Arabidopsis thaliana: one gene and its partners. The protein of the gene in region 3 purifies or fractionates together with the protein of the main gene of each other region. This does not show direct contact. Each region holds a gene or a part of one and is shown on either strand. Other genes may lie near its edges.

Region 1 (4,403 bases), 8.8 Mb from region 3:
TATCCTAATTGACGTTTTTCCAAGATTGTTGTGTGATTGTCGACAAAATAAATTTTGGACATACTCGTTTTTTTTTGGGCAGTACATTCGAGTAAATACGATTGAAGAAATCATGCATTTTTAGTTGATCGAATACATTGTATACGATGCTTCCATACAAATTTTGGTTTGTTTGTTAGGTGACAAATTTCAAGTGTGGAGGGTTCGTGCTAGGACTAGGCATGAACCACAATATGTTCGATGGTATCGCAGCCATGGAGTTCCTCAACTCTTGGGCCGAGACGGCTCGTGGCCTTCCTCTCTCCGTTCCACCTTTCTTGGACCGCACACTTCTCCGACCACGAACCCCACCAAAGATCGAATTCCCACACAACGAGTTCGAGGACCTCGAAGACATCTCCGGCACCGGAAAACTCTACTCCGACGAGAAACTCGTCTACAAATCCTTCCTCTTCGGACCCGAAAAACTCGAGAGGCTTAAGATCATGGCAGAGACGAGATCCACGACTTTTCAAACCCTAACCGGGTTTCTGTGGAGAGCTCGTTGTCAAGCCTTAGGGCTTAAACCTGATCAACGGATCAAGCTTCTCTTTGCTGCAGATGGAAGGTCGAGATTCGTTCCGGAACTTCCTAAAGGATATTCCGGTAACGGGATTGTGTTCACTTATTGCGTTACAACGGCAGGTGAAGTGACTTTAAACCCTCTTTCTCATTCAGTGTGTTTGGTCAAAAGAGCCGTTGAAATGGTCAACGACGGTTTCATGAGGTCAGCGATTGATTACTTTGAGGTGACTCGAGCTAGGCCGAGCCTAACGGCAACACTTCTGATCACGTCGTGGGCAAAACTGTCGTTTCATACTAAGGATTTCGGTTGGGGTGAACCGGTTGTATCTGGACCGGTCGGTTTACCTGAGAAGGAAGTGATTCTGTTTCTGCCATGTGGTAGTGACACGAAGAGTATCAATGTGCTGCTTGGACTTCCTGGCTCGGCTATGAAAGTGTTCCAAGGGATTATGGATATATGAATCATTAAAATTATTTATGGTTTAATGTTTGAATTTAAATTAACTATGATTTAAAAAGCAAATAATGATGATATATCAATTACGTGTTTGTGGTCGTATGAAATATTGTTCGTCGGTGGAGCAAAAATGTAACTAAGATGTTAAAGTATCAAGTTTAATAAAGAAAGCTATTGTGTTTACTAAAATGTTGTTTGGTAAGAGCTCAAATCTTTGATTTTCTTCTTACAATACTTTTTCTGACATAGAGATCAATTACAACCTACAAGTCACACCTTACAAAATAAACTTATCACACATAGCAAAAATATTATCACGAAAATTAAATCGTTAGAATTGTCTTTTTTTGATCAACGATTTGTCTAAATTCTGAAATTTTATGGTTAAAAGAAAAAAATCATTTGTAAGATTATTTTTACATAAACCAAAATAGTAAAGCTTTATATTCGATCGTATTTGAGTAACAATTTTTAAATTTCACACAAATTCCATGCTTTTGAAAAGCACCAAATTTAAACGTATCATAAATCAATTTAACCCAATATTTTAAAATAAATTAAAATATTTGACTTGACTTTCGTATTCGGGTCGGATCCACCCGGATTTGACAAATAAAAACCCGGTGGTTGGCCATCGCCTTATCTTGTTGACTCTTCTTCAATCATAAGCCCACCCACTTCGATTACCAACTCCGACCGCCAGAGACAGCGAGTTTCAGATCAAAGATGTCGGCGACGCTTACAGGATCGGGAACTGCTTTGGGGTTTTCGTGTTCCTCGAAGATCTCGAAAAGAGTTTCTTCTTCACCAGCTTCTAACCGATGCTGCATCAAGATGTCTGTTTCCGTCGACGAGAAGAAGAAAAGTTTCAGTCTTCAGAAATCTGAGGAAGCTTTCAATGCTGCTAAGGTAAATTGATTTCGTCCCACCGATACTTTTTGATTCTGGTTGAAAATTTTCGGAAAAGATCAGATTTTGATGGACTTGACTGAATCATGCCTCTGTTTTGCGCATAGAAATGTGATTCTGAATGTTGAACAAATGGTGTCTTTTTCATGATAGAATCTAATGCCTGGAGGTGTGAATTCCCCTGTTCGAGCATTCAAATCCGTTGGTGGACAACCTGTTTTGATTGATTCTGTTAAAGGCTCAAAAATGTGGGACATTGATGGAAATGAGTATATTGACTACGTTGGCTCTTGGGGACCTGCTATTATTGGCCATGCTGATGACGAGGTTCTTGCGGCTCTAGCTGAGACGATGAAGAAAGGAACAAGCTTTGGTGCTCCTTGTCTCTTGGAGAATGTTTTAGCTGAGATGGTTATATCAGCTGTTCCCAGCATTGAAATGGTTCGGTTTGTTAATTCTGGTACTGAAGCGTGTATGGGTGTGCTTCGTCTTGCCAGAGCTTTCACTAACAAAGAGAAGTTCATTAAGTTTGAAGGGTGTTATCACGGTCATGCTAACGCCTTCCTTGTTAAAGCTGGTAGTGGTGTTGCCACTTTGGGGCTACCGGACTCTCCAGGTGTCCCTAAAGCAGCTACTTCAGATACTTTAACAGCTCCGTACAATGATCTTGAAGCTGTTGAGAAGCTCTTTGCTGCGCATAAAGGGGAGATTTCTGCGGTAATTCTCGAACCTGTTGTTGGTAACTCCGGATTCATCCCTCCTACTCCGGAATTCATCAACGGTTTACGCCAGCTTACTAAAGACAATGGTGTTCTTCTCATCTTCGATGAAGTCATGACTGGATTTCGTCTAGCCTATGGTGGAGCCCAAGAATACTTTGGAATCACGCCTGATCTAACTACTCTTGGTAAAATTATTGGTGGGGGTCTTCCCGTGGGAGCATACGGTGGTAGACGTGATATTATGGAGATGGTAAGATCTGGCTCTAGACCTTTAACAAGCTTCAAAACTAGGGGTGGCCATGTACCAATGTTGCTATTCTTTTTTTTTTTTTGTAGGTTGCTCCCGCTGGACCAATGTACCAAGCCGGGACTCTAAGTGGTAATCCGCTGGCAATGACTGCAGGGATTCACACGCTGAAGCGGCTAAAGCAGGCAGGAACATATGAGTATTTAGACAAGATCACGAAGGAACTAACCAACGGAATCTTAGAAGCCGGAAAGAAAACCGGGCATCCAATGTGCGGGGGTTACATAAGCGGTATGTTTGGATTCTTTTTCGCAGAAGGACCGGTTTACAACTTTGCAGACTCAAAGAAGAGCGACACAGAGAAGTTTGGTAGGTTTTTCAGGGGAATGTTGGAAGAAGGTGTTTACTTTGCACCGTCTCAGTTTGAGGCCGGGTTTACGAGCTTGGCTCACACTCCCGAGGATATACAGTTAACAATTGCTGCGGCTGAGAGGGTACTGAGTAGGATCTAGAATGTTCCCAACCCTGAGTCTAGTTTCACAATCTTCATGTTTTGGGGACGATGTGTATGGTTTGATGAGCGGATGGAATAATTCTTGTGTAGTGAGTTGAATTTTGTTTCATCAGTAGAGCTTGAGATTTTTTGTATTTTAAGATCATCTGTTAATGTAATGGTTTTATGTTATCTCCTAAAGAAATATTGCTTTTAATACCAAACCGATTTGCCTTTCCGATTATTTCTGAGTACTATGAAGAATTCAGAAATGCATATAGATGGATGAAAATCGCATTGCTACTCAAATCGACATATCGCAGCAATGTTTTGGAATGAGTTTTGGATGTCTTTAGCTTGCTGAAACTAAATATATTTGAGAGCGTCAAGGTGGTGTAGCTATTGCAGGATATTGATTGGACCTAAATCTCTCTGTTGAAACCAAACAATTTCCTTAGAGAACAAGAAAGAAGAAGTGGATGATAAGGATTGGGTTTTAAGAATTCAGGAGTAAAATTGTAATCTAATCTCTCCATTTTTGTTAGTTTTGTACATTTTAAGTAGTCATGCTATATGTTGGAAAAAAGGAGTAGCCATGCTATATACCTAATTTATACAAACAATTGTGCTACAACTATTAAGCACAGTTTTTGTAGAAATATGTGTTATTATTAATGAATGATTCAAACATGATTTTTCAACATGTGATTGATGTAACCTTTTTTTGTTGGCAGCCTTGTGATTGAGGTAACCGTTGACAAAAAAGCTCAATTACCTAATCTTATCAAGAATAGAATGATAATTTCAAAGGAGAAAAAGGGCTATTCGAAAATCAAAAGCACAATGACACAAACGTTTTTTTTTTTTGTAATATTTGATAAAGGGATCGGATCTGAATACGGGAGTATGTGTTTACTTTGGTGGTGGTGATGTTTTGAGTATACTATTTGTTTTTTGTTTTTTTTTGATAGGAACAGTTTACCCTATTCAGACAAGACATGTGACAAATAC
Region 2 (8,394 bases), on a different chromosome or scaffold from region 3:
CAGAGCAAATAAACGAGACATTAACGCCGTAAATTTTTTCTGTTAACCTATTTAACGACATGACTCAAATGGCAAGTCAACAAACACTTTGTCATTTATTTCGAAAGTCAACAAAAACTTTACGATTTATTTATCTTCCGTGAAGTTCAAAATTAAATCGTCCCAAATTTGAAAGACATTTTTCCCGAATATCATTTATGAATTATGATACAATGTTACTAAAAAAATCATTTTTATGTCTCATGCATGTAGTAACGAACACACACTAATATAGTAACAAATGATCAGACGTTACTCTTAAAAACTAGAGTGGTCATCATGTTCAAACTTTAAGGTACATTAGACCATCTAATTAGAACCATGCGTAATTAGTATTGTTAAGTAACCAAAAGAAATAACGACGATCAATAGTAAGTTTTTTTTTTTTGTGTGTGTAACCAATAGGTAGTACTTAAGTTAAATGTATATTATTTCATTCCTATTTCTTTAAATTGGTATCGATTCATTCTAAAATGTTGCATGGATTTTTTTTAACATCTTTAGATAAAGTTTTATGTTCCGTTTTTTTTTTCAGGTGACAAATTTCAAATGTGGGGGTTTTGTCCTAGGACTAGGCATGAGCCACAACATGTTCGATGGAGTCGCCGCTGCGGAGTTCCTCAACTCGTGGTGCGAGATGGCCAAGGGTCTTCCTTTATCCGTCCCACCATTCTTGGACCGTACGATTCTCCGGTCACGAAACCCTCCCAAAATCGAGTTCCCACACAATGAATTCGACGAAATTGAAGATATTTCCGACACCGGAAAAATCTACGATGAAGAAAAACTCATCTACAAATCATTTCTTTTCGAACCCGAAAAGCTTGAGAAGCTCAAGATCATGGCGATTGAAGAAAATAACAATAATAAGGTATCAACATTTCAAGCCTTAACCGGGTTTCTTTGGAAATCAAGATGCGAAGCTCTACGGTTTAAACCGGACCAACGGGTTAAGCTTCTGTTTGCGGCGGATGGACGGTCAAGATTCATCCCACGTCTCCCGCAAGGATATTGCGGGAACGGGATTGTGTTAACCGGTTTGGTGACATCATCGGGAGAATTAGTTGGGAACCCTCTTTCTCACTCGGTGGGTTTGGTCAAGAGACTGGTGGAGCTGGTTACGGACGGCTTCATGCGGTCGGCTATGGACTACTTCGAGGTGAACCGGACACGGCCGAGTATGAACGCGACACTTTTGATTACATCCTGGTCAAAATTGACATTGCATAAACTGGATTTCGGTTGGGGAGAACCGGTTTTCTCTGGACCGGTTGGTTTACCAGGGAGGGAAGTGATCTTGTTCTTACCAAGTGGTGATGATATGAAGAGTATCAATGTGTTTCTTGGCCTTCCTACTTCAGCTATGGAAGTGTTTGAAGAGCTTATGAAGATCTGAAAAAGAACATACATTTTCATAATCAAATTATGATATATTCTACCAAATTATAAGCAAAGGAAAATTATAATCTAGTCATTATTTATACATGTTATATTTGAATTCACGTTTGTATCCATTACAAAAATTTATGTAATTCGCAGAAAATATATATATGTCAAATTAAGTTATCGGACCGGATCGGGTCAAAGAAACCGGATTGGTTAACAAAGTCAAACAAACAAATATTGACTTGAGTTTCAGATTCCAGTAAAATCAAACCGGATCGGGTCTGAATTTAAACCACCGGGTCGGCTCCATCTAAAATCTGAAGATCATCTCCGCCTTATCTTGTTGACTATCTCTGTACTACTTACGAGCGCAAGTGAGAGAGTAACAGAGAAACGTAGAGATATAGCAAAATGGCTGCGACGCTTACTGGATCAGGGATTGCTCTAGGGTTTTCGTGCTCCGCAAAGTTCTCTAAGAGAGCTTCTTCGTCGTCCAACCGTCGCTGCATCAAGATGTCGGTTTCGGTAGAGGAGAAGACGAAGAAATTCACTCTTCAGAAATCTGAGGAAGCTTTCAATGCTGCGAAGGTTAGGCTTTTCAATTTCCATGAATTCAGTCAATAAGAAATGTTTCTTCAGATTGATTACGCCTTGATGTTCTGTTGCTTTGGTTTTGTGGGATTTGATCATATTTTTGGTTAAAGTGATTATCTTTGTTACCCTTCAAGGAACATTGCTAACAAAATAAGATTACTTGAGATAGAATCATAATCTGAGATAAAGTTTTTGTTTTTATTGGTTTCATTCTGTTCTGATTATTGAAATTGGTTTGGTTCCTTTGTGTAGAACTTAATGCCTGGAGGTGTGAACTCACCTGTACGTGCTTTCAAATCTGTTGGTGGACAACCAGTGGTGATGGATTCTGCAAAGGGCTCACGAATAAGAGACATTGATGGAAATGAATACATTGACTATGTTGGATCTTGGGGACCTGCTATAATTGGTCATGCTGATGATGAGGTTTGTTTCTTTCCAGTTTTGATGATTTTTAGATAGCTGAAAGTTTAGTAGTTGATACGGTGATGTGTCTAGTGCAGGTTCTTGCTGCTTTGGCTGAGACAATGAAGAAAGGAACAAGCTTTGGTGCTCCTTGTCTCTTAGAGAATGTTCTTGCTGAGATGGTGATTTCAGCTGTTCCAAGTATTGAAATGGTTCGGTTTGTTAACTCCGGTACAGAGGCATGTATGGGTGTGCTACGTCTTGCTCGTGCCTTCACAGGGAAACAAAAGTTCATCAAGTTTGAAGGTTGTTATCATGGTCATGCAAACTCTTTCCTTGTCAAAGCAGGTAGTGGTGTAGCTACTTTGGGTCTACCTGACTCGCCTGGGGTCCCCAAAGCAGCTACTTCAGATACTTTAACAGCTCCATACAATGATATTGCTGCTGTTGAGAAGCTTTTTGAGGCAAACAAAGGAGAGATTGCTGCCATCATTCTTGAACCTGTTGTTGGTAACTCGGGTTTTATTACACCTAAACCAGAGTTCATTGAGGGAATACGCCGGATCACTAAAGACAATGGTGCTCTTCTTATTTTCGATGAAGTCATGACTGGTTTTCGTTTAGCCTATGGTGGAGCTCAAGAATACTTTGGAATCACACCTGACTTAACAACTCTTGGGAAAATCATCGGTGGTGGTCTTCCTGTGGGAGCATACGGTGGAAGAAGAGACATCATGGAAATGGTAAAGCTAGAGTTGTTAACAATTGAACCGAATAATCTTTTGAATTTGCTGCAAGAGATTGAGAAAGTCCTGATCCTTTATCACTCATGTCTTTTTGCAGGTTGCACCCGCAGGACCGATGTATCAAGCTGGTACGCTAAGTGGTAATCCGTTGGCTATGACAGCGGGTATACACACGCTGAAGCGGTTAAGTCAGCCAGGGACATATGAATACTTAGACAAGATCACAAAAGAGCTTACAAATGGGATACTAGAAGCCGGGAAGAAAACCGGGCATGCGATGTGTGGCGGTTACATAAGCGGGATGTTCGGTTTCTTCTTCACGGAAGGACCCGTCTATGATTTCTCGGATGCAAAGAAGAGTGATACAGAGAAGTTTGGAAAGTTTTTCAGAGGAATGTTGGAAGAAGGTGTCTACTTGGCACCTTCTCAATTCGAGGCCGGTTTTACTAGCTTGGCTCACACTTCAGAAGACATCCAATTCACTATCGCAGCGGCCGAGAAGGTTCTAAGTCGGCTCTAAAATGTCTCTGGAAGCTTCCAGGGAACCATGAATGTATTTGAAATTTTTTGATGTAGAGAAAATTAGATTCAATTGAGAGCAAGCAAGCAATCTCACAAAATTTAACTGTGGTAAGAAAAGTCAAAATGTCTATGAAGATTTGTTGACTTTTTAAAAAGAGTTCTTGCTTTGCGTTAACGTCTTACAAATCACACAGAATGATTTCTATTGCAACACACTTTTTCATCATGTAGCCAACATCATAATCTGAGTCATAAGACGATATATTTCTCCACGGAACAAGGGAAGTGCATCTGCAAAGTTAAGCTTCCATATTCAGTTTTCTTCACATTTCTATAGATTCCCTTGCCCATTTATGTCTTTGTCCGACCTAAGACGACCTAGAAAGTGGATACACAGTCCATCCAACGAGAAAGTTTCACTAGTCTCCTACTTCCCAAGGTTACGTCTTTCATATGTTTAGTTGCATTTTTCTTTCTTCACATCTTTGCTTCTAGCTGTAGTTTGTTCAATCCAACCGACCGAGCTGCTTTTCATTGTCTTAAAGAATGAACAAGAAACATCCTGATGATTATGTGAAGATGTTTTGGAGACCAAGCTGATTCGAACTTTCTTTCTAATTCGGACACAATTGAGTTGGAATTATTTGAAATTGGAAAGGCCCAGTAAGGAAGTGATCCAATATTACTTGCCTTAGACAAAGACTTGGCCCACTCAGTCCATACAAAATATTCCTTTTTATTTATTTAAAAATATGAATACTCCTTGACTTAGGCCAATCAAAATTTATAATTGATATTTTTTGTTAAAAGAATTTATGATTGATAATGCCAATATTTTCTGTATTGAAACATTTTTTAAATTTTTCTATTTTTTGTTTTTTTTGGTTATATCCGAAGAGTAATGTGACCACGTTAATTCTCAAGTCAAATATTATCTTTCATAATTAGAAAACTTTATCGTATATTATTAATATTATGTCCTTAAAATAAACAGAAAACATTAAGTATGACCAAAAAAAAAAAAGACAGAATCATGATGGATATTTTAAATAGTTTTCGTTAAATCAGAAAATAGGAAATATACATTATCCCCAATAGATAATTACACAAATTTTTATAAAGAAGTAGAGAAACTAACTCCGGAAAATTAATCCTCTACTTCGCACACTTGATAAACTCAGAAAAATACGACAGCGTAACGGGGTACACGTGGTGGTTGGTATATCAAGTTGGGGTAAAGTCAACATTAACGTATTTTTATTCATGTAGCTGCTGCGGAAGAGGACTGCTTGCCATGTTTAGGGGTTTGTCCATCTTCAATCTCAGCCCTTCGATCATTTCCGCAGGTACACTTGTTCGCTTGACGAACCACTGAGATTGGCTCAGGGGATGAAACTGTGCCTAGCTTCAACATATCGAGGCTCACCTCCGGTAACTTAGCAGCTTCGACTTCTTTCTCTCCTAGATGCGGCGACGTTTTACAGTATTTGTAGACAACGTAGAGTATCATTTGGAGTGCACCGAGAGCAAAACCAAGCACATTCGGGAACTGCACGAAAAACATTTGTTGTAGTGGCAATAACATAATAACATTTTAATATACTCACTTTTCCACTTTCTAGCTTGTGAATAAAGTACGTTAAAAACGAAATAAAGTAAAGTTTATGGCAAACTTGTGCGGCATCGATAGAAGTTACGTACAAAATATAATTTCTATGTAACAATAAAGATAAAAAGAACTTAATATATTATGAACTTCTTTTGCAAAAGCTAAATCTTTTAATGTTTCTGTGGAACATAAAGCGAGAGTTTCTTTATAATTTGGTTTATTTTTATCGTAAAGGACGATACCAAACAAAAGGTTTTGCTTTCATTAATCGTTTTTTTTATCTTTTGCCAATCCATATCTCTTTTTATCTATGAATCTATGATTAGAACCTCAAAGTCTCAGGTTCATTAGAAACAAAAGCACCCACTTCATGTAATATACTGTTATGATAATGATAGACATATGATTATGATGCTTGACGACATGATAATCATGTTAAAACATATATATTCATTATAGCAAATAGAGAGAGATGAAATGGCTTACAGCAACATAGATGTCCTTGAGAGCAAGACCATAAAGGAGCCATATGACAGCACTGATGGTAAGGGTTAAGGATAAGCTAAAGGGCATGTACTCCACACTTCTTGTCTTTATTACCGTCCTCTATATATAATTAAACAAAAATATATATGTTAATTATTATTGTTACCAAATCATAATTTAATCACTTGGTAAATTAGCTATTTCGTAGTACTTACGATTATGCTTAGAGGAGCAGCGAAAACACAAACAGAGAATCCGACACAGATTCCTCCGATAATCTTAGCACGTGTGGCTCCTTTTACCAAGAATTGGCAAAGAAGGAGAATCGCACAGAATCCTCCAAAGTTCATAAGAAGTAGCATCTTCACTGTCAACATCTGCATCCATTAAGAAATGTTTTATTTAGCAACTTCATTTGAATAATGTTATGAACAACGTAACATGCATGTCATATGAACTGAGGATTAATTATTAGTTACCCGAGCTGGCTTGGGAGCGTAGGCAAGGAACATAGAGATGTAGATGGTTTCGATGAAGCAACCAAAGGCGTTAATGGTTACGAGGAGGAAGACATCTTTCTTCTGTGTCGCATAGTAAAGCCAAAGCGTCGCACTGAAGAGCGCCACAACATAAGGAATAGACTGAAACCCTTCTGTTGTCTTCTTCTTCCAAATCCTATAGAACGTTGGCCTGCGTCCAAAAAAAAACTGAATATTAGTTACTCAATTATATCGGAGAATATTGATGTAACGTAGTCATATATATTCTGATTTGTTGCATATATATTACTTACACAGGAGATAGGAACACGGCAAAGGAGATAAGGTTGCCTGAAAATTATACAAGAATATAGCAAAAATATGATATTAAGAAATCGATATTAAATCTCTAGAATTTAGATATTAGGGTTGCAGAACTTGATCAAAAATATTCATAAGAAATGAACACAACGTTAGTATCATACCGAGCAAGCCAAAGACAAAGGCCCATGTGTTTTCAGTGTTGAAGAGACTCATGGTATATAAGTTGTTAGGAGAAGGAAGAAGAAGAGAGATAGCACTTAGTTTTGCAAGTGTTTTCTCTTAATGTAAAAGCTAATGGCACGAGCTTAGTGTTTCGGGGACTTCACGTATATATAGGGGTTAGGGCTAAAGGGAGGAATGGGGTTTGTGTGGGAGATGGAAAAAGGAGAAATGTTTGTGTGAACAATAATATTTTGAATAATGTTTGAATTTCTTATTTATTTTAAAAAGCGTTAATGTCATTGTAGTTGTATAACAAAAAAAGACCCGCAACAATAATTCACACGCTAAACCATTACCAAATCATATACATTTTGACGTACAAATAACAATTCTGTTACCAAATAACCTTTTTTAGGTTTTGGCTTAAGAAATAAAACATAATTAGTTATGTTAATAATGCTTGTCAATCTCAGCTGTTTAGGCAAGCTATTTTCTTAAGGATTATGTCTAGATTCTACGTATGCATCTCTAATTCTCTATATATACAATGACATAATTATGACCTAATCATTTTACGATTTTGAGGGTTTTCACCAATCCTATTATTTAACTTATTTACACAACGTAATAAGTATATTTGCCAACTTCGGTTTAAACCAATGTTTTGAAACCCGACCCGGACGATGAACCGGACTATCTTCTGGGTCACTGGGTCATCGGGTCAACCGGGTTGGACCACGGGTTAATTAGTTAAAATTTATTTAATAAATTTAATACTAATAGAAATTTTAGAGTATTTTATAATAAAAAAAATTTGTAGTATTTATAAATATAAAACAAAAATAATCATATCATATTTAATCAAATATAAAATTATATTATATTTAACAAAATATAAAATCATTTACACCCAAATATATATATATATATATATATATATATATAGAAAAAATCAAACAATAATAATAAAGTGGTTAAAAATTTGAAATCCAATAAATGTCTAACACCGTAACAAATATATTAGGAGATCATCAATGACAGAAATAAATTAATAAAACATCGTGAATTAAAACAACTAATCTCGGTTGTCTCTCTCACCATTCGATTCAATTTTAAGGCGGTATTGTAAAGTCATCAACAAAATCTAAAACATCAAATGAATTTAAGAACTGAAAAAACTTCTAAAAATAATTGAATAAAGTCTAAAATCCCATATTTTATTGTAAAATCAAGAGAACTTTTTAAAACCCACACCCGACCGGTTCAACTGGTTCACCGGGTCACGGGTTAATTGCGAGTTTTTGTGGGTTTTTTCGGTTTTGAACTTGTTGGGTTTTAGCACTAAACCCAAACCGGAAAAATGTTCGGATTACGGGTTAACCGGTCGGACCGGACGGTTCGGGTCGGGCGTGAAAACACTGGTTTAAACTAATATTTTTTCTTAATTAGTGATTAGTTCATTCACTTTTATTCTACATGTTTCCTTATGTTGACGCTTACGTGATTTCGTTGCTAATTTAAAACCAACCAAGTAACTACAAATGATCAATCTGAATGACTATATACCTTGCAAAATCAATTTGCATGTGTAGCGAAAAATTATATTTTAAGTTATTGTGCGTTTAGTTATATATAGATATAC
Region 3 (8,749 bases):
TAGGTACGAAGACTACCTTCGACGAGAAAGCCTTCTGATAGAAGAAAATGAGACAGAGGAAGGACTTGATGACACTCCCGCTCTTGTTGAGGTACCTCTTCTTATTATCTTCAGGCTCAGAGGAAACGTTTAATAACAGAACTGTTGCCACAAAGTAGAAAGATGACTTATTTTGGGGATAAATCGACCTTTCGTTGATATGCAAATTGAAGTCATTTACTCCTTAGAGTCGTGCTAACACAGTTGGCTGTTAAATACAGGAATTTGCCGTAAGAAAAAAGACGCTCTTTGTTGCCAATCTCTCACCCAGAACTAAAATATCACATATGTAAGTAGCAACCTTTAATTTCCTCTTTCGTTCTTTGAGCAAGTTTTTCATGACGGATATTTTTTCATCCATTTTTACAGCATCAAGTTTTTTAAAGATGTTGCAGAAGTTGTTCGTGTTCGACTTATTGTAAACCACAGGGGTGAGCATGTGGGCTGTGGCTTTGTTGAGTTTGCTTCTGTTAACGAAGCACAGAAGGTGAGAGTAGTTTATAGTAATGATAAAAAAGTATTGTAGTCATTTCGAAAGTAGTGTATTTCGAAAGTACGAAAACTAATCAAATATTTTGTACTATAGGCGCTGCAAAAGATGAATGGTGAAAATTTGCGCAGTCGTGAGATTTTTCTTGACGTGGTTGAGTTAGCTCCATACCCTCTCCGACCCAAGTAAATTGTTTTTTCCATATGGAGATTAGTTTCTCTAAATTATCTCTATAGTTTTGATGTGTCATTACAAAAGATTAATGCTATTTTATTTTCTTTGTTAATTAGGTACAACCATGCAGAGAAACTTTGGTAAGGGATTTAACTATTTGCCTTTCGAGTATTGTTGTCAATAGCACATTGGGTGAAGTTTGTGGTATACAAGGAGAGATTACAATGGGTTTTTTTTTTTTTTTTATTCCAGGCACGAACGAGAAAGTCTTCTGAAGAAACAGAAGGAATATGAGATGTTGAGCGAGAGGACCGAATTCTGCGGTAAGAAGATTATCTTCTCTTACGACGACGAAGACCATATGTTCTGATATTAAATCATTATCTGCCTTCACTATTATGTGCCGTATACAGTATACTATTTTAACTGATTTGTTTGTCAAAACTCAAAACCATAATCTCGGACACCAAATACAGTCTCAACTTGATTCAGTCTTTCGTATCTTTCACCAAAGTAAAAAAGTAGTGGTAACTCAAGACCTAGACATTGGCTTTACTATAACCTTTGTACATAGACAAAATCGTAAGCTTGACCCGAAGCTTATGAGTATTCTTATGAGTTATGCCACAGTAAAAAAAAGTAACATTTAAAACTATCTTCTTTTACCCAATAAGATTTGCCAAATTTGTAATTAGGAAAAATGTTAACTTTTAAAAATAGAAGGTCGGTTAGAACCCTCTATATCATTCAGAGACTTCACCGCTAACTTTTGTAAAGGTCCTTTAGGGTTTTCGGATTCGAGCAAAAACAAAATCTCCGCAATCGAGAGAAACTCTGAGATCGGAATCAATGGAGTCTACAATATCGTTGAAGGTCAACAAAGGAAAAGGCAAAGGATCAAAGGGAGCTTCCTCTTCCGATGACAAATCCAAGTTTGATGTCGTTAAGGAATGGACCAATTGGTCATTGAAGAAGGCTAAAGTCGTCACTCACTATGGCTTCATCCCTCTGGTCATCTTCGTCGGCATGAACTCCGATCCCAAACCTCATCTCTTCCAGCTCCTTAGCCCTGTCTGATCCATCCAATTTCATCATCAACCTAAATCAATCGAATCGGTCTTCCTCTGGTTTGGCTTCTTCATATCTTTACGCGTGTTCTTAGATTCGCCGAATCTTCTTTTATGCTTTTTTCATTAGCTAGTTTTTGAATACTTTCTCTATGGTACTGTATTGAATAACTTTAGCTTATGATATAATGTGAAATCGAATTTTATGTTTTGAAAATCTGGGAATTGCTTTAAAGATTGAAGTTTGTTGGAATGTCTTGTATCAATTTTACAATGTGTGTTATATGAGGTCGATCTTGAGGTTTTAAGGCAACACAAGCCAAACCTATTTGCAACATCTCAACCAACTCTTCTTCTATACCCATTTGCATCATTAGCTCATTATCGAATACTTCTCCTGTCCACTCTTTCGACACCACTGACCTTATCCAGCTCGCCAAGTCCATGTTTTCGTCTAGTGATAGCGGACTCGCGGGTGATTTCCCTGTTAGAAGCTCGAGTAACACCACCCCGAAGCTGTATACATCAGAGAACTGTGTGGACTTTCTTGTATCTGTTATCTCAGGTGCGTGGTAACCCGAAGAACGTAAGGTAGTCTGCGGGAGAGATTTCGTGATGTGTGTTAAGCCGAGATCGCAGATGCAGCCGTAGCATTTCGAGTTCGTGAAGATATTGGAGGATTTGATGTTACCGTGGACAAACTTCCCGTCGTCTGCTTCGTGGATTATAGCCAACCCTCTTGCTGCACCAATGGCGATTCTTAAACGGGACTCCCAATCTAAAGGTACTTGGCTCTCTCCTGCAAAAGTTGAGTTATTGGTTTTCGATACTGCATACCAAAGAAGCATAGACAACGGAATACAGAAAGATAGCTTACCGTGCAGCATCTCAAATAGGTTTCCTTGACTGTAATAACTGTAAACAGCGAGCTTATCGATCTTGGAATAGTAGTAGGCTTTAAGCTCGGCTACATTATCATGCCTGATTCTACCAACGATCTCCATTTGTTGCTCAAACTCTCTTCTCCCAACAACCACCTCCTCCAATCTCTTCACTACTACCGTGGCTGTGTCTTCCACAGCTACTTTGTAGGTTGTAACATGAGCGCCTTTCCCCAAAATTTCTGCAGATGCAGCTAACAAATCATCCAAATCAAAGGTATAGTTACTTCCTCCAAAGAAAACGATTTTCCCTTCATCATTGTCATCTTCTGGTGCCCAGTTTCCTGAATGAGACAAATCTCTCTTCTTTGACTTCCATGAGAGTTTACCTTTCATGCGCCGTTTATTTCGCAAGCAACAAGCCATCATCTCCGCTCGATTGCACCCAGAATGTTCAACAGGAAAGCAAACACTTGTAGAGGTAATTTAAAGCGTCAAGATCGAAATCAAATGTTCTCCAAGGCTATAAGCTTGGTCAAACCTGGTAGAGAGCTTAGGATGATGCTCTTTCCAATGGGCCCGAGAGCCGGTTATATTGACTTTCCGATGGAGAGCATATAGAGAACGGAGAAACTCTGAATCTTCTCAAGAAGTCAAGCAAATGGTTCTTCCTCTTGTTCCTCTCGAAGCAGAAAAGCCAAATATATATCATCTCAGCCATTGTTGAAAAATGTTTCGTCTCTATCATGGAACAGAGAATCTTTTGTAACAGAAGAAAATTGTATTTTAGTATATAGCTAATCATTTTTAAATGCGAGTAGAAAAGATACGCCGGTCGTTAAGCCGGCAAAAAAATCTTCGTTATAGTATTATCTTAAGTGAATAAGCATGGTTTTAGCCGCAAACACATCGTGGTCGTTTTCTTCTTCTATTAGATTTTCCCACCCAAAACACTGATTATTACCAAAATGGATTTTTTCTTTTACATTTTCCCTTTTGTATGTATTTATATTTTATAAATAAGAAAAAAGTATCAACAAAGCAGAGTGGCGCAGCGGAAGCGTGGTGGGCCCATAACCCACAGGTCCCAGGATCGAAACCTGGCTCTGCTATGTTTTTTCTAATTTTACCGTATTTTAAACTGGTTTACTTTGGTTCGGACCAATTCGACTCGGTTAATCAAAATTCCAAACCGAAAGTTACATAATTATATAACTAAAGAAACGAAAACGGCGTCGTAAATAAAGAGCGTCATCTTCACCTAACAAAAACTCTTCACCAGTTTGTTAAGTCAGCCTTTTGATTGTCTCTTGGCTCCATCGACGAGTCCGTCACTTTCACCGTATAAATATCTCCGCCACTCTCTCTCCCCCATCACCACCAACCTCCGTCAAAACCCTAAACCACTATCTCTCTCTCTCTCTTCATATCGCAACAATGGAGTCCGTCGCTCTATCTCGCATAGGTCTCGCCGGTCTCGCAGTCATGGGACAAAACCTCGCCTTAAACATCGCCGATAAAGGATTCCCAATCTCCGTCTACAATCGAACCACTTCCAAAGTCGACGAAACCTTAGATCGTGCCTCCAACGAAGGAAAACTCCCAGTCGCTGGTCAATACTCGCCTCGCGATTTCGTTCTCTCGATCCAACGGCCTAGATCCGTTATCATCCTTGTCAAAGCCGGTGCTCCCGTTGACCAAACCATCTCTGCTCTCTCTGAATACATGGAGCCTGGTGATTGTATCATCGACGGTGGAAATGAGTGGTATCAGAACACAGAGCGACGAATCGTTGAAGCTGAGAAGAAAGGATTGCTTTATTTAGGTATGGGAGTCTCCGGTGGTGAAGAAGGAGCTCGTAATGGTCCTTCTCTTATGCCTGGTGGATCTTTCACTGCGTATAACAATGTTAAAGATATTCTTGAGAAAGTTGCTGCTCAAGTCGAAGATGGTCCTTGTGTTACATACATTGGAGAAGGTGGATCTGGGAATTTTGTGAAAATGGTTCATAATGGGATTGAATATGGTGATATGCAGCTGATTTCGGAGGCGTATGACGTGTTGAAGAACGTTGGTGGATTGAGTAATGATGAATTGGCTGAGATCTTCACGGAGTGGAATCGAGGTGAGCTTGAGAGTTTCTTGGTTGAGATTACTTCGGATATATTTAGGGTTAAGGATGATTATGGTGATGGAGAGTTAGTGGATAAGATTTTGGATAAGACTGGTATGAAAGGTACAGGGAAATGGACGGTTCAGCAGGCGGCTGAGCTTTCTGTTGCGGCGCCTACGATTGCTGCGTCGTTGGATTGTAGATACTTGAGTGGATTGAAGGATGAGAGGGAGAATGCTGCTAAAGTTTTGGAAGAAGCTGGATTGAAGGAGGATATCGGTTCTGCGTCTCGTGGTGTTGATAAGAAGAGGTTGATTGATGATGTGAGGCAAGCTTTGTATGCTTCTAAGATCTGTAGTTATGCTCAAGGGATGAATTTGCTTAGGGCTAAGAGTTTAGAGAAAGGTTGGGACTTGAATTTGGGTGAAATGGCTAGGATTTGGAAAGGTGGGTGTATTATCAGGGCGGTTTTCTTGGACAGGATCAAGAAAGCTTACCAGAGAAACCCGAATTTGGCGAGCTTAGTGGTTGATCCTGATTTTGCTAAAGAGATGGTTCAGAGGCAAGCTGCATGGAGGAGAGTGGTGGGTCTTGCTATATCTGCTGGGATTAGCACACCAGGAATGTGCGCAAGTTTAGCGTATTTCGACACTTACAGGCGTGCTAGATTACCTGCGAATCTGGTTCAGGCGCAGAGAGATCTCTTTGGAGCTCATACATATGAGAGAACCGATCGTCCTGGTGCATACCACACTGAATGGACTAAGCTTGCAAGGAAGAGTCAGTAAAGCATGGACACAGTCCCTTGATTTGAGGTTATTCTCTCTCTCTCTCTCTCACACTCTGTTTTTGTGCTTATTCTGAATTCAATGTTTCCATGTTGTTGTGTAGGGCTTTATTTCATCATAGAACACGAAAACAAATTGTTTCAGCTTATTTTTGTTGAGTTATAATAAGAAATGCAATGCCCCTTGACTCTCTGTATCTGTCTGTTGATGATATCTGGAGAGTTTCCTTTATTTTCTCTTATGTATGGCTTGGTTCATTTTTCGAATTTGAATTTGATATCTATGTTGAAATTTTGGAAGCTGAAGTCTTCATAATTCTTCTGTAGTCTTCTTGCTCGTTAAATTGACGAATTTTTTTCCGGTCTAAATGGCGCCAAAACTGAACAATAAAACGGATTGGGCTATTAGAGAAAGAGCCCATTATTTGTCATAAAACGTCTTGTTGGGTTTAGAGCAATATAATTAACCCAACCAAAGTACAATTATCTTACGGGGGACACAGCTAAACCCATAATAAGATAACTGATCTCGTGAGTAGTTTAACAAATCTTACTTCTCGTGATTATAGGTAGTTTAACAAATCTTACTTGTCTAATAATATTTTGTTATATAAGTTTGTTGTCCGTAAAACAACACAAATTTCCACTCAAAATGTAATGAAGTAATTTTCAAAACAGATGCCCAAAATGTAGTCAGTGATTCATCGAGTTCGTTGATGCAGCATGTTCTTCAACCCTTCCGTCAGGACATTTTAAAACCCTTGCTCAAAATTTCTTGGACATTCGGATATAGTTTGCAACGCGGGATTAAGTCGCAAATAACATTTGTCTGACAGGTTACATGGTAGTTTCTCTTTCCCCTGTAACCTGGTTACGTTCTGATTGTCCTTTGTGGTTATAATAATAGTCTCCAGTAACGGCTGATGAACCAGACATGTTATGTAATCTTTTGGAGTAGTGAAATCGAAGTTGAGCCCTTAAACAATAGAAATTCGTGAATATTATTGTCTAATTCATCATGTGATATTCTGATGTTGCGGTGAGAGTCATCAGATTTAGTCTATTTTCCACGGAATGAATTATTTGTTGCTTCAATAATTACAAACAAACAAAAGATTCCTGGAAAATATGGCCCATGTGGTTCTGGATTAGACAAATGAAATAACACAAAGGTATATTGATTGGACAAACAATATACACTATGTTTCAGCTACTAAAATTCATCGTATATATGATGATAAATTCGAAGAAAACAATTCACTCTCTACCAATTTACTCGAATATTAAAAAAAAATAAAAAATTGATCAGATTAGCAAGCAATCTCATGAAAAATGGATTAGTACTTTAATCAATCGTTGTAACATAAGGACGATTCTCTTTAATTTCTAGTTCAAAAAATAGGACATGCTCGATCTTTTATGAGTTTAACGATCGCTAGAAAAGTTAGTGTCTATGTTTACGTTACATAGTATAATAAAACTGATATTCTAATACATAATTACACATTAACAACAATTACAAAAAAATACATTTAGTTATACTAATTTTTGTGTTTGTTATTTGCCAATTGTCATCAACAAATTATTGGATGCTTGCCCCACATTATATTGTCTCCCTACCTCATGATAATAAACTCTTTCTTGAATCTAAGAATTTATTCCATAAATAATTCGTTCAATTGTGCCGAAATAATTTGGTAAATATTACTATTTTCATTGCCGACATTTGTTAAATAATAACTATAATTAAAGAAACTTTAGCTATGCTAAATGGAATTGATTCTATTGATGTGATATAATTGGATATCCAATCATTTTTTATAACTCTTCCAATCTCAAAAAATTTAAAGTCTTATAATTTTGAATCTATTCTCTTTTCTATAAAGGTTCTAGATGGAGATGTATGGGATATGGCGCATTTAGGTGCAGGAACAGACGAAATAGTATCAAAATTCTATAGATATTAATAATTACATCAAATTCGTCATATGTCTATATATATCTTTTTCCAATATGAATCGACTCTCTTATGATTATATATTATCCATATTTTAATATCAATTATACTTTTTAATTAGTTGGAGAGACATTAGATGATGATAACCATGTTACCACTTCCATAGAATTTACACTTTACGGGACACGATTCAATGTTTTTTTGTACTTGTTGAAGTTCAATGTACATAAGATGTCATTTAAACCTATATAATATAGATTCGTATTACTTCTTTTCATAAAGCTAAAAACAACTAATAAGTGAAAAGATTAATATATTAATTATTTATGTGGTGTATGTTATGGTTTTGTGATATGCTATAATATGGTTTCTTTCTAAAAACGCCGTCGATCTTATCTTATTGGGGTTATTTTCCGAACAACTAAACTTTCATTCATGATTTAGCAATTACAATCGATCGAGATAAACATCCTTAGATATATCCGATGTGCATGCAAGACGAAAGATTAGAACAACGAAGCATACAACATGATACAAAGATAGAGACACAAACTCAACAAAGTTTGACAATACATGAGAAGAGTTGCCATAGCGATCAAAGATGAGATCTAACAAACTTCAATTCAAATATTTCAAACGACTTAAAGATAATCAACTTAATATGTTATTGGTTTTCTTTTCTATGATTTTTCTTATGAATTTTTTTGTGTGTGATATATGTGTATAAGCAAGAAAAGAAAAAGTATATGCAACGATTTTTTTTCTTTTCTTTATAATGTCTTCATATTAAAATCAAAATGTATATATCCACCAATTATTTTTCAGTTTGATGGTTCATAGATAGATTTATGTGTGATACATTTGTTTAACAACTAAAGATTTATGTGTGATACATTTGTTAAAAAAAAAAAAACAGGTTTTGAACCTTAACTAATGCAGAAAACTAAACTAAACTTTATGGTTTACGAAGCTGCATGTTCTAGACAAACGACTGCTCAATTTGGAACATCAAAGTACAAGTTTATATGCTAAATAATATTACTATAATTAAGATAAAGATGCATCTTACCAAGTTGGTCATTACATAATGATACTTTATGTCATCGATATTCTCCTTCTCTCTTTACATATATATACATTAGTATATAGTCATATTAATTATATGATTTGGTATATTGCTCTGTGTACGTATTATACATACATGAGCCTAATAATAGAGAAAAGGCTATGAAAGAAAGGCT
Region 4 (8,711 bases), on a different chromosome or scaffold from region 3:
ACCTAATGTCCACATAATTCTCAATACTTTCACATCATCATTAAACCAGGATGACCAATCCGGTTAAGCCAAATATACTCTTGAAACTTTTAATTCTTTTGAAACTTCTAGTTCTTTCAAAACTTCTAATTTACTTTTCATTGCTTATCAGTTACTCCCTTAATGAGATCTTATAATCAAAATTACTTCCATATATTTTAATAATCAATCATATGTTAATAAAACAATAACGAGATAATAATTAAAATTTTAGATTCTAATATAAACGATATTAAATTTAATTTGACTAGTTATGTAAGATCTTATATTCACTTTAGAATATGAGTATTACTTATCATCAATAACTCATATATTTTTTTTAGCCTTTGAAAAACACTCGATTTAAGTTCATAATAGTTTTTAAATTTCTTTCAAATATTGTGTCTACAGGACAACGATACTTGCGTAAAAGTTTAATCGTCTGTTTTACCATCTCCGCATCAGAGATATTCTCTTAACAATGTGAGTTATATTCAAAAAGAGACTTCAAGTCTTGAAGTTTTAGTAATAACTTATTTTAGTAATAATTTATTTTATCTAATAACACATTCATATAAGAATTGCTTTATACAACTTTTAGATCTTTAGTAGTCAAAGATTGAACATAATCTTCTGGATATGTCACTTATTATCCATTCATTACTTCTCTTTCTCGAGATGATGAAACTTCAAGTTCATCCATCTCGTATTGAATTCCACTCTAGAATCATAATGTATTTATATCTCATCATATTAACTTTGAGATTTGGAGAACTATACAGCATCGATGATTTTAATTTTGTATTCCCATAGAAAACAATGTATATGCTCTTCTAGAATCTTTTAATAAGATTTTATACTACTTGATATACTAGATTATTTCATCGTTAGAAATGTTTTTTTTTTTTTTAAAATTATTTTCTCAACTTCTGGTGATAATTTAAGTTCTTGAAAAAACTTTGACCATCAAAAATATGATATTTTCTTAAAATACATTAAACTAGTCATTCATGAAAATTTCTATAAGTGATTATACCTTTAAATTAAGTTATTTATCAATCAATTTATTTCATAAAATAATCAAGTATTATATACTAATACAATTTTAATGCAATATTGTAAAACCAATCACAATAAAACTATTTTGTGCAAAATTTGGATTTTACATATATCTTGACAAAACTTTTATTTAGGGTAATATGAATTCGTGTAAGATTTAGGTAAAATAATTTCGTGCAAAATTAGGGCAAAACCATGAACAATTTTATTTTATTTTTTTATTTTTTTTTTAGATACCACAAAGATTTAGAGAAAAGAATCTTATAAAAAGAAAAATTATCTTGCAACGTTTTTAGTAAAAATAATAATAACACAATCAAATATATGGAAATCAAATATTTAATAGGGAAAAGTCAATATCTAAAAGTGATAAGATATGTATAACGTTTTAATCAAAGGAGTTAAATAAGGGATATCATATCAATCATAAATGGATTTTAGATAATATAGTATTTATAAAATGATATTGAATATAGATGCAACTATTCAAAACTGGAATGCTAAAACATTAATACATGCTTACATCACCCACCACCGGGCTATGAATAGTTACAAAATTAGTTATATAATTATAAAATTGGTAATTTATATATTCAATATTGTAATAGTAAATCACAAAGATTAACAATTAACAAGCATGATTCTCTTCTTTAACGATTTTCTTTGTAGAATCATTGAATCATGCGATAGTAATTATAGAAACAAATGATAAGCATGATTCTCTTCTTTATTGAATCATTGAAAACATGCTTTTACCGATCTATACTATAATCATCGATCGACTCATATTGTTTTGTTTCAATAATAGAAAATAAGTACTATGAACCATGAGTCGATAAGTAAACATGGTTCTTAAAAAAAATGTAAGAATCTCTATATCTACCTTTTAGAGCGTGCTGATAACGTGTTGTAAACAGAGAAAGAGATAGAGGAAATCAGTGTATTATTCCATTGAGATAAAGGGTTCTTTATATAGGAGTACAAGGAAAGGGTAAAACCCTAGAAACATCTCGATGATGGGCTTAGATAATGGGCCTTATAATGGGCATCCTCTTGATTCATAACAATATGTTGTTTCTTCTAGTTTTGGTCCCCGCTTCCTCACCATCTCTAGCTAGCATCATACATTTTCTTTATTTTATAATATATATTTTCGACATAGCATGTAGATTTTCTATTTATCTTTTTTAAAATTTACACCAATCATTGATAGTATATGTATTGTAAAATAAAAATAAAAATAAAAATATCTACAACGCATGGTCATATTCAAACTTAATTCTAATATTTACCCAAATGATTTTCTTTTCTAGCGGTTGAATTAACTTAGAAAAAGAACAATCTTCACTTAGAGATCCCAGTGACGATTTGGACGCTTAATTATTAGGGTTATCGACTCTTATTAAGGTTCTTCTAAAGAAAGAAAATGTAATACTTTGAAGATGAAGCAAGACAAACCGAAGAAGACAGCAGATATATATATATATATATATATACCGACCAAGATTCGTGTACGTAAAAGCACAACTGAGATATGAATTTGTTGGCATGCAAATAAATTACAGATGTTTGATGCTAAGACCAAATGAAATTAAAAAGGGATTTAGGGATTTTGTATCTGTGAGAGGAACAGTCCATTGAATCAGTGAGATAGGATACTTTAATTATACTGTCTTCTTCTGCTCAGCATGGTTCGAATCCCCATATCAATCATCCATTGTCTCTTTCACCTTTGTTTTCATAAATGGCAAAAACTTTGGTTGCAATTTGCGACAAAGGATGACGTATTCGGCGCCATTTAAAGTTGGAGTTTTAAAAGTAAAAACTATTACTATATCATGTGAAAATATAATTAGATTGTGAAGTATAATTTTTAGAATTCTGTCGTTTACCTCTTAGCATTGTTATTTGATTAGACTAAACTAATAATTCAATTAAATAACAAATCTAATTTTTTCATAGTCGAATTTCATTAGTTAATCGTTTAGTTGTTTCTCTCGTGGATCTTCACATCATCACATGTGCCAAGAAGTTAATATTAATATATAGTCATTTTCCGAGAAGAGTCTATTTGGGTTGTTTGAGTAAAGCGTGGATATCTTTTTCCAAAGACCTTTTGAGAACTTATCAACCACAATCCCTTATATATGGTTGAAGCTGTGATCACTTGTATTACAATTATATTAACAACTCAATCGGCATTAACACAATTGCTTTCGATTGGATCTATCAGAAATCGGCATTAACACAATTACATTATATATCACGCTAGGTCTGATCAGCTCCATGTCAATCTCGTTGTTTGTGTGCTCTCGGTTTAGTTATGTGACTAAGAAGATGAACCGACTTGGATAATTGATTGCCTGGTTGCAATATTTTCGAAAGTGATAGGATATCAACTGTTTCTTTTCAATCCATAACTTACATACTTAATGATATAACCACATATATATAGAATCGTGTGGCTGTCCCGAAACACGTGACCATACCATATCGTATTCGAATGCACCTACTTATCAACTATTTGAACTGATGTGGATTTAAGAATTGGTCATATATTATCCTCCATGCTTCATAGGGTAATATCCAGAGCGATGTTGCAACAGATCCTTACTTGATGCGTGGCCAATTGATGTTGCTTGTGTGAGTTGCCATAGATCCTAAAGCCAAGGAATACATTTTGGAATCCATAGAAGACATGAACAACATTAAGCAAAGCCTTCTGTAGATTTTTAATTCTTTTTCGTTGTTGAGGATAGTGATATGTACATTAATTAATTTGGTTCCGTATAATTTTTTAATTAATTAGCGTAACACTCCACCCGAAAAGGTCCAAAACCTTAAACAACACACGAAGCTCGTAGACAAGCTGACCAAAACCTTATTAGTTTTGTTTGCAAACCCCAAAAGAAAAAACATCTTTGGTGTAACAAAAATGGCTTCGTCTTCCAAAGCACTGATCGAATCCATAGGCTCTCTTGACAAAGACTCATACGTTTCTCTCTTATCAAAACTCATAGGCGAATCTAAATTCGTCCAGAACAATCCGCCGGAGCTCATCCCTCAAGAGGACCTAATCGTCAAACACGTCCTTGACTCTCTCCGTCCTTATAGCACAGAAACTGGTGGTGGTCCTCTGGTGATCAATCATGTCGCGTATCATTCAGGTAGAGGTAATCTCATCGTTGAGTACCCAGGATCTGTTCCCGGAAAGATCTTGTCTTTCGTCGGAATGCATATGGACGTCGTCACTGCGAATCCTGATGATTGGGTAATTTTGATTGATTCTAAATATGTGATTTTGATCGGTGCCCATTAGAATTAGCTTAAAATCTGATACTGGGTTCTGTTTAATTTCCGATGAACTGATCTGAATTGTTCCAAATTTCAAAGCTTTCTCTGTTTTGTGTACTCTAGGGTTTAATCGGTTACATTGAATTTTGGATTCTCTGGTTGACTTCGGTTTTTGTTCATAGGAATTTGATCCTTTCTCGCTAAGCATAGATGGTGATAAGCTTCGTGGTCGTGGGACAACAGATTGTCTTGGTCACGTTGCTCTTGTCACTGAACTCATGAAGAAACTCGGGCAAGCCAAACCGGCGTTGAAATCAACGGTGGTGGCGGTTTTCATCGCTAGCGAAGAGAACTCTTCCATTCCTGGTGTTGGTGTGGACATGCTGGTGAAAGACAAACTTCTTGATAAGCTCAAATCCGGACCCTTGTTAGTTTCCATTCTGTTAGAAATTTCTTGGGGAGTTTTTAGATGAAAATTGAAGGATGATTGAAGCTTATTGATGTGTATTCTTTTGAAGGTATTGGATTGATACAGCGGATAAGCAGCCGTGTGTTGGAACTGGGGGTATGATACCATGGAAGCTTCAGTTTACTGGAAAGCTTTTCCATAGCGGTTTAGCTCACAAGGTATTTTATATATGAATGGATTACTCTAGATGAAGTTGCAAACTTGGCATTGATCTTTTCTTCTGTTTGTACGAAGGCGATTAACGCGATGGAGTTAGCAATGGAAGGGCTTAAGGAAATCCAAGCTCGGTTCTACAGAGACTTTCCGCCTCACCCACAAGAGGAAGTTTATGGTTTTGCAACACCATCCACCATGAAGCCAACACAGTGGTGTTGTAAGTTTTGGAATCTATAGCATGTTGTGTGCCTAATGACTTTACATGTTGTCTACTTACAATAAATTGTTTGGTTTTGCAGATCCAGCAGGTGGAATCAACCAAATCCCCGGAGAATGTACTGTTTCGGGTGATGTCAGGTTGACTCCTTTCTATGAGTAAGTCTCTTCACACTTGTCTTACTCGTTTCTTCAATGCATTTAGACACACTTTAATGGCTTTTTGGTTGTTTTTGCAGCGTGAAGGAAGTGATAACGAAGTTGCAAGAGTATGTTGACGACATAAACGGTAACATAGAGAGGCTCGAAACCCGTGGTCCTGTTTCAAAATATGTCTTACCAGATGAGAATTTACGGGGAAGGTTTGGACTTTCTTCTTCTCCTGATTCTATTCTTTCTCTCATTTTATTGTCCCTACCGAAATCTTAAAAAGTCTTAATTGTCACTTGCAGGCTCACGTTAAGTTTTGATGAAGCATCAGCTGGAGTTGCGTGTAATCTTGATTCTCCCGGCTTTCACGTTCTATGCAAAGCAACCGAAGAAGTTGTTGGACACGTGAAGCCTTACTCGATCACCGGTACTTTACCTCTAATCCGAGACCTCCAGGTAAACCATTTGATAAACCGTACTTTAACTAGACTCAAGACTGATCTTTCAGAGTTCTCTACAACTTACTCTTTCTAAACCAATGAATCATGCTCTTGGTTTGTAGGATGAAGGTTTTGATGTGCAAACTTCAGGATACGGTATTACAAAACCCAACTCGGATTCTCTCCTTTGCTGAATTTCCTCATCTTTGATCCTTATCTATTTTAATTTTGTTGCAGGTCTCATGGCTACATATCATGCAAAGAACGAATACTGCCTTCTTACAGACATGTGCCAAGGCTTTGATGTCTTCATCAGGATCATTTCTCAACTTGAACAAGTATAAAATCAGATGGAAGATCATAAAATAAAAGCTTCACATAGCTACTCTCTTATTAACTAAATGGTTCTATACATTTACTTTGCTTCTATCTATTTGTACAAGTCAATGGTGGCTCAATACTTCAGACACTTTACAAAATTTAAAACAAAGGATAATGTTTTATACAGTTATTTATCTATCTTGAGTTGTTGTCACCTTCAGTTTCAAGTTTCTGAACACGTAGCCGGAGTCTTTGCTGATGATGGTGTAGTTTCCAGAGACCATTACCCAATACAACGGCTGAGTATATACCATGTGTGATGATAGGAGCAAGAAGATTGTTTGTCTGCAATATTTTCAGTTTGGTATCAACGATTTTACTACGACATGTCGAAAAAAGAAATGCGTGAACAGAAGAAGTAAAAACCTGAATCCATTCAAAGCCGAGGTATAGACCCAAAAGCCCTTCAAGAAGAGGAGAGTAGATTTTCTTCATCTGTCTTCGCTCATACCACGCTGCAAAAAGGAACATAGAATCCTTAGTGTGTGATAGTGAACATATCTAAATCCTTATGCTAAACTGAGTTTTACGAACCTGCAAACAACTTCTTCAGCTCGTCTCGGGCAGAGCGAGTTTTCAAGACCGGTGCCATTATATAAGTTGGATCTAAGAGAAATAACAAAACAAAATCAGCTATGAGGTTAAAGGTTTTGTAACATAGAGAAATGTTTTAAGTGTAGAAGGAAACCTTTAGGGGAAGCAGCTATGTAGTAGAGAGAACCAGTGAGAGCGGCTGTAATAGTGGCTGCAAATACTTGAGCAAATGGTACAAATGGTGGCAAGAGTCCAGTCTGAAAATTCAAACAATTAAAAGTCAAATACACTTAAACGAGTTCAAGGAACAAGAAGGAGACAAGGAAGAACAGAAAATCTATAATACCAAAGCAACCATTCCTCGAGAATCCGAGATAAGATCTGTGCCCCTTAGGAATATATCAGCTAGTGCACCCTGTCAAAACAATATCAAAACCACGAAAAACTTCACATACCTAAAACAGAAAGAGAAACAAAACAATTGAAGACTATTAGAAGGCAAAAACCTGAAACGCAGCACGATAGAAGAGCTCTTCTCCAACTGAACTTGCAGTAACTACTAAGATAAACTAAAGAAACACAAGACAAAGGTTTAACATTTTTTCTCAAAGATTCAATCAATAAGATTCTGTGTTGAGGGTTCTTCACCTGCCAAGCTGACATTCCTTGAAAGAAACCTCGAAGCTCATCATCTTCAACATCTCTAATGGCACGAGCATGAGGCGACAATTTAACAACTTCATCCTATACAATAAACAACCAAATCTTTCTCATAAACCCCAAACCTTCATAGCCATTTAAAGAGACATTCATTATCACTACTAACTTACATCAAGAATGAAGAGAAGAGCCATAATAGGTGGAGAAGCATAACCAAGTCCAGCGATAATTGTATCTAAAGAAGCATTAAAACCTCCTGTGTAATCTATTCCTGCTACTTCACATATGAATCTTCCTGCTACTGCCATTCCACAATATATTCCTATATTTTCCCAAATCACCAAATCCAAAATCATTGTTTAAATAAAGTTTCAATTTTGAAATTTCATAAAGGAAACTTCTTTTTCGAAGTTGCTCAATCATCTCGTGACTCACCGATTCCATAACTCAACCTAACAATAGCACCGATCTTATCCCAATCCTTAAAATCCCCGCCGCTTCCGCCGACAAACTCGCCGACGGAAGTAACCTCACCTGAAGGTCCAGCTAAACCGCCACTACCAGCACCAACAAATTCGCCGCTACTGAAACTTCCAACCGACGTTACATCTCCTGAAGTAACAGCTAAACCACGCGCCGCCGCATCTCCGTCGTCGATCACTTCGCTACTGCTCTGTCCAGCGGAAGACGACGATGCTTTAATCGACCTTAATTTCTCTAACGAAAGTCCGTTTAACCGTGAATTTCTCTTCCCGCTACGTTTCTTCAAATCCGATCTCGAACACGCCGGAGAATCGAAAAGCTTAGAACTACTCCTAAATCCACCGCTTCCGCTACTACACCAAGATGAAGAAGAAGAAGAAGAGAGAGTGACTCTTGTGGAACTACAAGACAATAAAGGAAGACCCATTTATAACATGCGACAACTCTCAGGCGAAATTATCGGAATAACGCCGGTGATCTCGCCGGAGAGATTCTCTTCTTCATTTAGTAACAGAGAGAGCGAGAGAGAATCGGTGACCGCGCGTTTTTATTTTCTCATTTTATTGTAATAAATAGAAGTGGAGACTTTGGACCGTTGGATGGTAGAGAATTATTTGATCTAACGGTTGTGTATAGTTTAGTAATAGAGACCACTTAAATTTGACAAAGAGTAATTGAACTTGACTACGTTACCTTGATCATTGATTTTGATTTGTACCACTTTGCATGTCTACACGTTACCCATTCGTTTTTGTGCAGCACATAAAATGGGCCATAGTTTTAGTTAATGGGCTTTCGTCAGAATGAGACTCATATCCATTGCTTGACATCTTAACATATATGAATGAGAC

The links.
Region 1: the proteins of AT5G41670 (region 3) and GSA1 fractionate together in Arabidopsis thaliana (co-fractionation; one large-scale study listed by BioGRID). This does not show direct contact.
Region 2: the proteins of AT5G41670 (region 3) and GSA2 fractionate together in Arabidopsis thaliana (co-fractionation; one large-scale study listed by BioGRID). This does not show direct contact.
Region 4: the proteins of AT5G41670 (region 3) and AT4G17830 fractionate together in Arabidopsis thaliana (co-fractionation; one large-scale study listed by BioGRID). This does not show direct contact.

The regions. Positions count from the first base shown.
Region 1 is NC_003076.8:25,450,210-25,454,612, forward strand, and holds GSA1 (glutamate-1-semialdehyde-2,1-aminomutase), read left to right. Parts: upstream 1-1,590; 5' UTR 1,591-1,747; coding exon 1,748-1,930; exon of another isoform or gene 1,931-2,083; coding exon 2,084-2,902; intron 2,903-2,988; coding exon 2,989-3,411; 3' UTR 3,412-3,636; downstream 3,637-4,403. Other genes in the region: FACT (HXXXD-type acyl-transferase family protein), read left to right, coding at 180-1,025. UniProt on the Arabidopsis thaliana protein: Transaminase converting glutamate 1-semialdehyde (GSA) to 5-aminolevulinate (ALA). Involved in the biosynthesis of tetrapyrroles.
Region 2 is NC_003074.8:18,047,861-18,056,254, forward strand, and holds GSA2 (glutamate-1-semialdehyde 2,1-aminomutase 2), read left to right. Parts: upstream 1-1,710; 5' UTR 1,711-1,836; coding exon 1,837-2,013; intron 2,014-2,271; coding exon 2,272-2,445; intron 2,446-2,522; coding exon 2,523-3,167; intron 3,168-3,267; coding exon 3,268-3,690; 3' UTR 3,691-3,918; downstream 3,919-8,394. Other genes in the region: DCF (HXXXD-type acyl-transferase family protein), read left to right, coding at 575-1,435; SWEET11 (Nodulin MtN3 family protein), read right to left, coding at 4,954-5,241, 5,788-5,907, 6,003-6,164, 6,267-6,477, 6,581-6,617, 6,752-6,803. UniProt on the Arabidopsis thaliana protein: Transaminase converting glutamate 1-semialdehyde (GSA) to 5-aminolevulinate (ALA). Involved in the biosynthesis of tetrapyrroles.
Region 3 is NC_003076.8:16,662,450-16,671,198, reverse strand, and holds AT5G41670 (6-phosphogluconate dehydrogenase family protein), read left to right. Parts: upstream 1-4,027; 5' UTR 4,028-4,088; coding exon 4,089-5,552; 3' UTR 5,553-5,579; exon of another isoform or gene 5,580-6,173; intron 6,174-6,229; 3' UTR 6,230-6,525; downstream 6,526-8,749. Other genes in the region: AT5G41690 (RNA-binding (RRM/RBD/RNP motifs) family protein), read left to right, coding at 4-91, 261-328, 409-526, 626-714, 820-843, 956-1,073; AT5G41685 (Mitochondrial outer membrane translocase complex, subunit Tom7), read left to right, coding at 1,553-1,780; AT5G41680 (Protein kinase superfamily protein), read right to left, coding at 2,001-3,080. UniProt on the Arabidopsis thaliana protein: Catalyzes the oxidative decarboxylation of 6-phosphogluconate to ribulose 5-phosphate and CO(2), with concomitant reduction of NADP to NADPH.
Region 4 is NC_003075.7:9,911,904-9,920,614, forward strand, and holds AT4G17830 (Peptidase M20/M25/M40 family protein), read left to right. Parts: upstream 1-3,909; 5' UTR 3,910-4,012; coding exon 4,013-4,348; intron 4,349-4,553; coding exon 4,554-4,813; intron 4,814-4,889; coding exon 4,890-4,998; intron 4,999-5,074; coding exon 5,075-5,213; intron 5,214-5,295; coding exon 5,296-5,371; intron 5,372-5,451; coding exon 5,452-5,574; intron 5,575-5,664; coding exon 5,665-5,818; intron 5,819-5,924; coding exon 5,925-5,958; intron 5,959-6,039; coding exon 6,040-6,146; 3' UTR 6,147-6,284; downstream 6,285-8,711. Other genes in the region: AT4G17840 (CAAX protease self-immunity protein), read right to left, coding at 6,319-6,468, 6,550-6,638, 6,718-6,789, 6,872-6,974, 7,064-7,132, 7,224-7,286, 7,366-7,461, 7,548-7,699 and 1 more.